Linked DNA regions of Drosophila melanogaster. The protein of the gene in region 1 purifies or fractionates together with the protein of each later gene. This does not show direct contact. Each region holds a gene or a part of one and is shown on either strand. Other genes may lie near its edges.

Region 1 (3,755 bases):
CGAGTCAAATCGATCTGCTCCTACATACGTACCGACTGCTGCTCTTGTGCTCCTTCGACGAGCTGGAGGAATTGGAGCTCTTGTGCTCCCTCTCCCTATCACGATGCTTGTCCTTGCTGGAGGATTTATGCTTGCTGCTGCTGCTGCTGCTGCTGCTGTGGTGATGATGGTGGTGGTGTCCGTGTCCATTGGTGGTCACCCCGTTGGATTGAACCACCTCGCAGCTGCCACCATTTTGTATGTGGATGCTCTGCGGGCGCGAGAGAGATGGCGAGATGGAAGAAAGAAGAAAGGGAGATGGTATCAGTTAGTTAGTACGTATATATGTAGATGGACCAGCTGAAAAGTGAGAGTGAATCCGGGCCAGAAACCTGTGCATCCGTCATGTTGGCCCAACTGGTCGCTTGTGGATCTACTCGATTTCCTCTCGATTTCTGGCGATGATTGGCTATTATCTCGTGTCTATCCGCTCACCACGTGGTGAAAATCAACCCTAACAAATGCCGCGTAGGAAAATTCACTTTAAACTACCAGCAATGGGTTAATCGAAGAAGAAGAGCCGCCGAGCGATGGCGACAGGAAATTGAAAATTGTTTCCGAATCACTTGGAATAGGTTAATATATATTTAAAAAACACCTTGCCAAACAATGACACCCACACACGCACAAGAGTCGTTTAGAATACAGAAAATCGTTGCTTTTTTTTTACACTTTTTGCATTTTTTTTTTTTTTTTTAACAGCTACACACACAAACACATCCCCACGGGGTTATTGTTGTTATTGTGGTTGCATATTATTCATCCGGAGCATTTTCTAGTTAATGCTTTTATTTGTTTTTGGCTGTTTTGGGGTGGCACATCTGTCTTATCAGACGACGGAACACCTTCGTATATGTATGTGCATGTAGAAGTGTAATTGCAAAATGGGACACTTGCAATTACATATGTACATGAAAGCAGCGGTCCACAACCAACAACAACAACAACAACAGCAGCAAACACATGTGATATTATGTGTGTGGAAGAGGGCAGTGTGACCAAACTTGGTGGTAATCTACGAAGAACAGGGAAATTGAGACGCTATGCGAACGTAAATAAGGCAAGTTGCAGTGGAAATGCAGGGAAATGAGTTAGTTAAAGGGTGTTTTTGAGGGGGAAAAATGTGGAAAGGCAACGTTCGAGTGGCTGGTGAAAATACCAGTTTTGATTAAAATACCAGCCAGCTGCGGCCACACTGTGCCAAATACATTTCGTCTGCCTCGGCTCTTCCCCTCCCTGCTTCACACCATCCTTCACCTTTTCCCACTTGCATTGTCGCCATTTTCGTCAATTACCAAAAGACCTCTTCTTACTTTTTTTTCTCTGCTCGTTGTATTTTACGCACTCTGCTGGCAGCGCTGTCGGCGTCGCTGCCAGCTGCCAGCAGCGAGCGGTACACTTGCAACTATCCTGTGCACCCTACAATTATGCGGTTCAGAATTTAACTTGATTTTTTGGGACTGACAGGCAGGCTGCAGGCGGCAGGCAAAGTCCCCCCATTCAACACGTTTGCACATTACATAAAAAAGGAATGGATATTTCGTTTAGGGCACTTACATTTTCGGCAGCCACATCCCCACTCATTTTGCGGAACTCGCTTAGCGGTTTTTCTTTTATTTTATTCGTTCCTTTCTTTTCTTTTCACGCTTTTACACTGTTCGACTAAACTGTTCGTTAGGATTTTCAATAATTAGATGTTGGTGCTCCTTAAAGCGGTGACAGCGGCGGGGAAATAAAAGCGCACTGAAGTTTTTCGAAAAGGAGCAGCGTTTGGTGCTTTGGTCAATGCGAATGCCCTTGCTTTTTGGCTTCTTTGCGTTTTACGGAACGCAGCAGCCACGCAGTCTCCCCGATAGGCGATTGGTTCGGACAAGTAGCGACTGCTGCTATCGGAGAGCGATAGGCTGATAGTTCGGATTCGGACAGTGTGACCGTCGGTGCCCGTGTCGATACTAGCCTGTCGATAGATGTTCACTCTTTCTCGATAGTCTGAGCACTGAATTGATACGAAATCTAGAATAACTTTAAGAAAAAGCTAACTTTTTTTCACTTTCACAAAAGGGTTTTCCCCACTATTTGCTTAAATCACTGATTGTGGTAAATGCAGCGCCAAACGTTCAAAAAAAAAAAAATAAGCATTGAATGCCACAAAATGAAATATAAAACATTTAAAGAAATTATTTAACGTTCTGGCATCGAAGTAATTTATTACTTTCGTACAGCTCTTGCAATTATTATTTTGGAAGAAAAACAAATAAAACCACCGCCATAACTGCTTTATCATTGTTTTGTATGTAGGTACACAAGTTTATTCACTAATACATTAGTTTAATATTAATTTAGATAAAAAAAAAAACAAATGCATAACAAACATTTAACAGAGTTCTCATATTTTTGTCGCCTCAGCTTTTTCTGGTTTTTGTGGGTGTGTGTGTTTGTGTGTGTGTGTGGTTTCTTAACTTCCGTTTTTACGCTTTTACATCGATTTATTATTAGTTTACATCGAACCATATATGCATCTAATTATGTATACATTTGTGTAAATTGTACTTGGCTCACTTGCTACATATATGCAGTGCACCGTGCTTGGCCAAAATCCATCAATTCGTCCGGATTTATCTTAACCATAACAACATTAAACATCTATAAAAAGTGTTCGTACGGTAAATGTAATTAAACTATGCAACGCTTCCTTTTAGTGCGCGTATGAATATATTTGTTATATTTATGTATGTATGTATATATTACCTTTTCATGCGAAACTATGCCGATTTAAGTTTAGGTTTTAGTTTTAGATTTACGGTTGTTTCCATCTCGGTATTATGTATGTGTGTATGTAGTTGGTAACAGTCTTTTATCACGTTTAGTTTGGGCATTACGCACAACGTATGGTACATAGGTTTTTAATAGTATATTTCATTTAGCATAATAATTGTTTAAATCCTCCCATTTACGCTAATCATTACTTATATCATTATCTTAATCCTTTGTGGGTGTTTGTTGCCGTTTCCGCTTTCGATGCAAATTGACGTGACTCTTTTCTATTCATATTTGTTCTACCATCTTTTTGTTTTAGAAAATTGGGATCAGCAAATAACAAGTTGTGTTCAAAAGAATCAGCTGTGATTGGATTAAGCTACTAAATATGTATGTGTCTAACATTCTAAACGAAATCGGAAACGGAAACGGTAACGGTAACTAGTTCTACATGCATGTAAAAGTCCTTCTACGTGGGACAGGAAGTTAAAAACAACAAACTGAACAAACAGTGTATATATGTACATATATATATATATATATATATATATATGTGAGTGTGTGCATGTGGGCAGGGTATCTAAAGTATGCTTGTCTCAGGCTCACTCATAAGTTGGGGTTAAAGGTTATCTATCCGTATCTGTATCTGTACCTAAACTGTACCGCAGCAGTTACCCATCAGTTGACCGAACGAGAAGTAACCCTGAATTATTGGTTCTATTGGTTGGTACGAATTAGGGACACTTTGTATGTTGGGGCTTGAGCTGACTGCCAGGACAGTAGTTACATATCACATCGATGAAACCCTTCAGTCGAGACCCGATCGGGCGCTCTCCATCACTCTAGTCCTGGTCGTCCTCCTGAAGCGGCGGCGGCGGCTGCTCCTGATTCCGATCCGAATCCGATGACTTCCGGGTGCTTGCCTTATGCTGCAGCTGCACCTCGTACTCGCTCTTGAT
Region 2 (3,755 bases), on another chromosome or scaffold:
TGGGGGAAGTCACGGGTGAACTTGCGTGTGCGTTTCGGTGGGAGGACACGTAGTTGAGGCGTCTATCGGAAAATTGGGGGGAAAAGTTTGTTCAATTTGAGTAAGTGTCGAGAATTTCACTAAATAATGGATTGCCAATTGGCTTTCTTGCATAATTTCAAAAGCCATCCTACGGGATTAGCCAAAATGTTGACATCATAGTTGTCACTTGTGCTGAAATAATAAATTTATGTGGTCAATAACAATTATATATTACGTATGTATAAGGATTTGTGTTAAACAATACTTTGTGCCATCTTTTCGAAGTAGCTTAGTAGGTCATCTTAATATTTAGTATATCAAATGGGTTCAATGAATATAACTTACGCTACTTGCGTTTTTTCTAACTAGTGTAAGAAATTTCAAAAATTGGGTTCTCTTACTAGAGTTAAAAGCTTATCCATAAGCTCTAATTTATGTTGGTTATGTGTGAATACTGAATGCCAGTGCTTGTATATTAATTTTCAAAGCGAATGCGCCGCAGGCATTTCGTGGCGAAATTGCCAATTACTGGCACCATTCTAATGCTGTCCTTTGTTTCATCCTTCTTGTGCATCCAACGCAGGTCGATGGCAAAACAATTAAAGCGCAAATCTGGGATACGGCCGGCCAGGAGCGTTATCGCGCCATCACCTCTGCCTACTACCGCGGTGCCGTGGGGGCCCTGCTCGTCTATGACATTGCCAAGCATCTGACCTACGAGAACGTGGAGCGGTGGCTGCGGGAATTGCGCGACCATGCCGACCAGAACATCGTCATCATGCTGGTGGGCAACAAGTCCGACTTGCGGCACTTGCGCTCCGTGCCCACGGACGAGGCGAAGCTGTTTGCCGAGCGCAACGGCTTGAGTTTCATAGAAACCTCGGCCCTCGACTCAACGAACGTTGAAACGGCATTCCAGAACATACTCACAGGTGGGTCGTTCAGGATATTTTAGCTAGTCTGCTTTCAAATTATCGATCGTTTAAGAATATTTAAATACTGTAGATTAAACGCTTCATTGAAAGTCAATAGATTAATGATAACGAAGCACGACTAATGATGTCTCGTAATCCCGTTTCAGAGATCTATCGCATTGTGTCGCAGAAACAGATCAGAGATCCGCCGGAAGGCGACGTCATCCGCCCGTCGAACGTGGAGCCCATCGACGTAAAGCCGACTGTCACCGCCGATGTGCGCAAACAGTGCTGTCAGTGACCGCCCCAAGCAATTTTCGCTATTCCCCGCAACCGCCAGAACAGCAACATAAACAGAAGCAACAGCAATTACAACTACGACTACAAGAGGAGCAGCAGCGGCCAGAACTGCAACACCAAGATCAGGAGCAGCGTACACCCGATGGACCGCACAAGATGTCTATGCGTTTGTCAGCCACAGTTTGTCATGTGCGCATAAATTGATAATTCAAATCTGAGCCGCCACTCTCCACCACCAACACCACCACCATCATCAGAAGCAGCAGCAGCAGCAAAAGAATCGAAAGCAACAACATCCGGCTGTAGTTAACTGCGGTTTAAACTGAAGTTTTATATATATACAGATCCATGAGTATCGCATAAATCGACCGCCGCGGAAAGAAAGCAAGCAAAACTAAACACTCCAAATTCAGTTTAAGCTGTAGAACTATAATTTATATAAATATACATATATGCTAATATTAAAATATTAATATTATTAATTTTTCGCAACATAAATATATAGTTGTAATTTCGCGAGCAGAACAACAACAAACAACCGGAAATTCTTCGACTTAAACGCAAATTCATTACCACAGCACTGCAGCTCGGATTTTCTTCTTCGGTTTCTCGCAACATTTTAAACGATTGGCCACTTGGTAAAACTAGCTGATAAAGAGAAATCAAACAAAAACAGTTGTAAAACTTTAAATGCATAAATGAAACGAAATAACATCATTTGTGTTTGCTATGTTAAGTGTGATTAAATAAATATAATTTAAATAAAACAGAAGTGCTTTCAATTGGGCGGAAAATCGAAATTTAAAATGGGATTAGAGTGACCAAAGGCAGACGTCGGAGTGGGTGTTTGGTATTTTCCGCGCGAGCAGCCACACTGATCCATACACGTGCGGGAGAAAAGTGAACAAAAACATTGAAACATGGGCGGTAAGAAGAAAGTGCATCCGAAGACGCGCACGGCGGCCTTCAAGGCCAGCGAGCCGAGCGAGATCGTGGAGGCGCCGCACTCCTTCGTCATCCATCGCGGCCTCGCCTGTCCGTACATCACGGACCTCACCCTGGACTTCCGCCGCATTATGGAGCCCTTTACGGCCAGCAATCTGCGCGAGAAGCGGATGAACCGCATCAAGGACTTTGTCAGCCTGAGCAGCTTCTTCCACGTCTCGCACATGGGCATCTTCAACAAGGCCTCCACGCAGCTGTCCTTCAAAGTGGTCCGCTTGCCGCGCGGTCCTTCCCTGACTTTCAAGGTTTGTTTGTTTCATCGCTTAGTTTATACTGGATATTTTACCGCGAAGTTATTCTCTGTCAGGTTCACCAGTTCACCCTGGCCAGAGATGTGATCTCGCTAAGCAAAAAGCAGATGATTGACAACGATCACTTCAAGCACGCTCCGCTCGTCATCATGAACAACTTCAGTGGCGATGGCAAGCACCTTAAGCTGATGGCCACCACGTTCCAAAACATGTTCCCCTCAATTAACTTGGCCACGGTTAATATCGGCACCATTCGTCGCTGCGTCCTGTTCTCCTACAATCCGGACACGAAGCTGGTCGAGATGCGGCACTACTCCGTGCAGGTGGTGCCGGTTGGCTTAAAGCGGGCGGTCCAGAAAATCGTCAAAGGAACGGTACCCAATCTGGGCAAGTGCAACGAAGTCGTGGACTTTGTGACCAAGTAGGAAATGACCGTTTGTTCTCATTCCATCAAATAATCATAATATTGATTTTCAGGGACGGCTATGCCTCCGAATCAGAGGCCGAAGATGATGAGCAATCACATGTGGTGCTGGCACAGACTCTTAAAAGCAAGGGCAACTTGGAGGACAAAAAGAGCTCCATAAAGCTACACGAGATCGGACCTCGACTAACCATGCAGCTCATCAAAATAGAAGAGGGCCTTCTGACGGGCGAAGTACTGTATCACGACCATGTGGTCAAGACAGAGGACGAAAAGGAAACCCTGCGCAAGCTGGTCGAAAAGAAGCGAAAGCAGAAGGAGCAGCGCAAGAAGGAGCAGGCAGAGAACCGTGCCCGCAACTTGAAGCTTAAGAAGGATGAAAAATGGGCTGCCAAGAGGGCGGCAGAGGGACGGACTGACAGCGATCCCGAGGATGATGCAGAGTACTACAAGGAGGAAGTCGGCGAGGAACCAGACGAAGGTGAGTTGTGCTACATGCTGCGTAGAATATAAACTAATGTTTCCTTTGCAGAACTGTTCAAAATGGAAGCGAAGTCCTCCCGAAAGCGGCCTAGTTTGGGCGGCGGAATGAAATACAAGAACAAGCGCGCTAAACTGGATACCAAGGACAAGAATGACAAATCTGAGCGCACGGACAAGTACGATCGTAAGGACAAGTTCGATCGCAAGGACAAGAAGGACAAATTCGACCCCAAGAACAGGAGAGCCAAGTTCGATCCCAAAAACAAGCGCGCCAAGTTTGACCACAGAAAGAGTAGAAAATCAAAGTAGTACATTTAACATAAGCTATTTTATAAAGACCATTGGTTAACACGACAT

What was found. Proteins that work in one complex are often made in the same cells at the same time.
Region 2: the proteins of Top1 (region 1) and ppan purify together in Drosophila melanogaster (affinity purification with mass spectrometry, with the first as the bait; one large-scale study listed by BioGRID). This does not show direct contact.

The regions. Positions count from the first base shown.
Region 1 is NC_004354.4:15,317,649-15,321,403, reverse strand, and holds the start of Top1 (topoisomerase 1), read right to left. Parts: upstream 1,913-3,755; 5' UTR 1,624-1,912; coding exon 1,597-1,623; intron 1,451-1,596; exon of another isoform or gene 1,367-1,450; intron 1,036-1,366; exon of another isoform or gene 387-1,035; coding exon of another isoform or gene 372-386; intron 251-371; coding exon 33-250; intron 1-32. Other genes in the region: gce (germ cell-expressed bHLH-PAS), read right to left, coding at 3,639-3,755. UniProt on the Drosophila melanogaster protein: Releases the supercoiling and torsional tension of DNA introduced during the DNA replication and transcription by transiently cleaving and rejoining one strand of the DNA duplex.
Region 2 is NT_033777.3:21,114,149-21,117,903, forward strand, and holds ppan (peter pan), read left to right. Parts: upstream 1-2,105; 5' UTR 2,106-2,155; coding exon 2,156-2,485; intron 2,486-2,547; coding exon 2,548-2,912; intron 2,913-2,968; coding exon 2,969-3,396; intron 3,397-3,447; coding exon 3,448-3,707; 3' UTR 3,708-3,751; downstream 3,752-3,755. Other genes in the region: Rab11, read left to right, coding at 605-953, 1,103-1,236. UniProt on the Drosophila melanogaster protein: Required for initiation of larval growth and normal mitotic growth but is not absolutely required for general biosynthesis or DNA replication. Required for progression of normal oogenesis and maturation of some imaginal tissues into adult structures.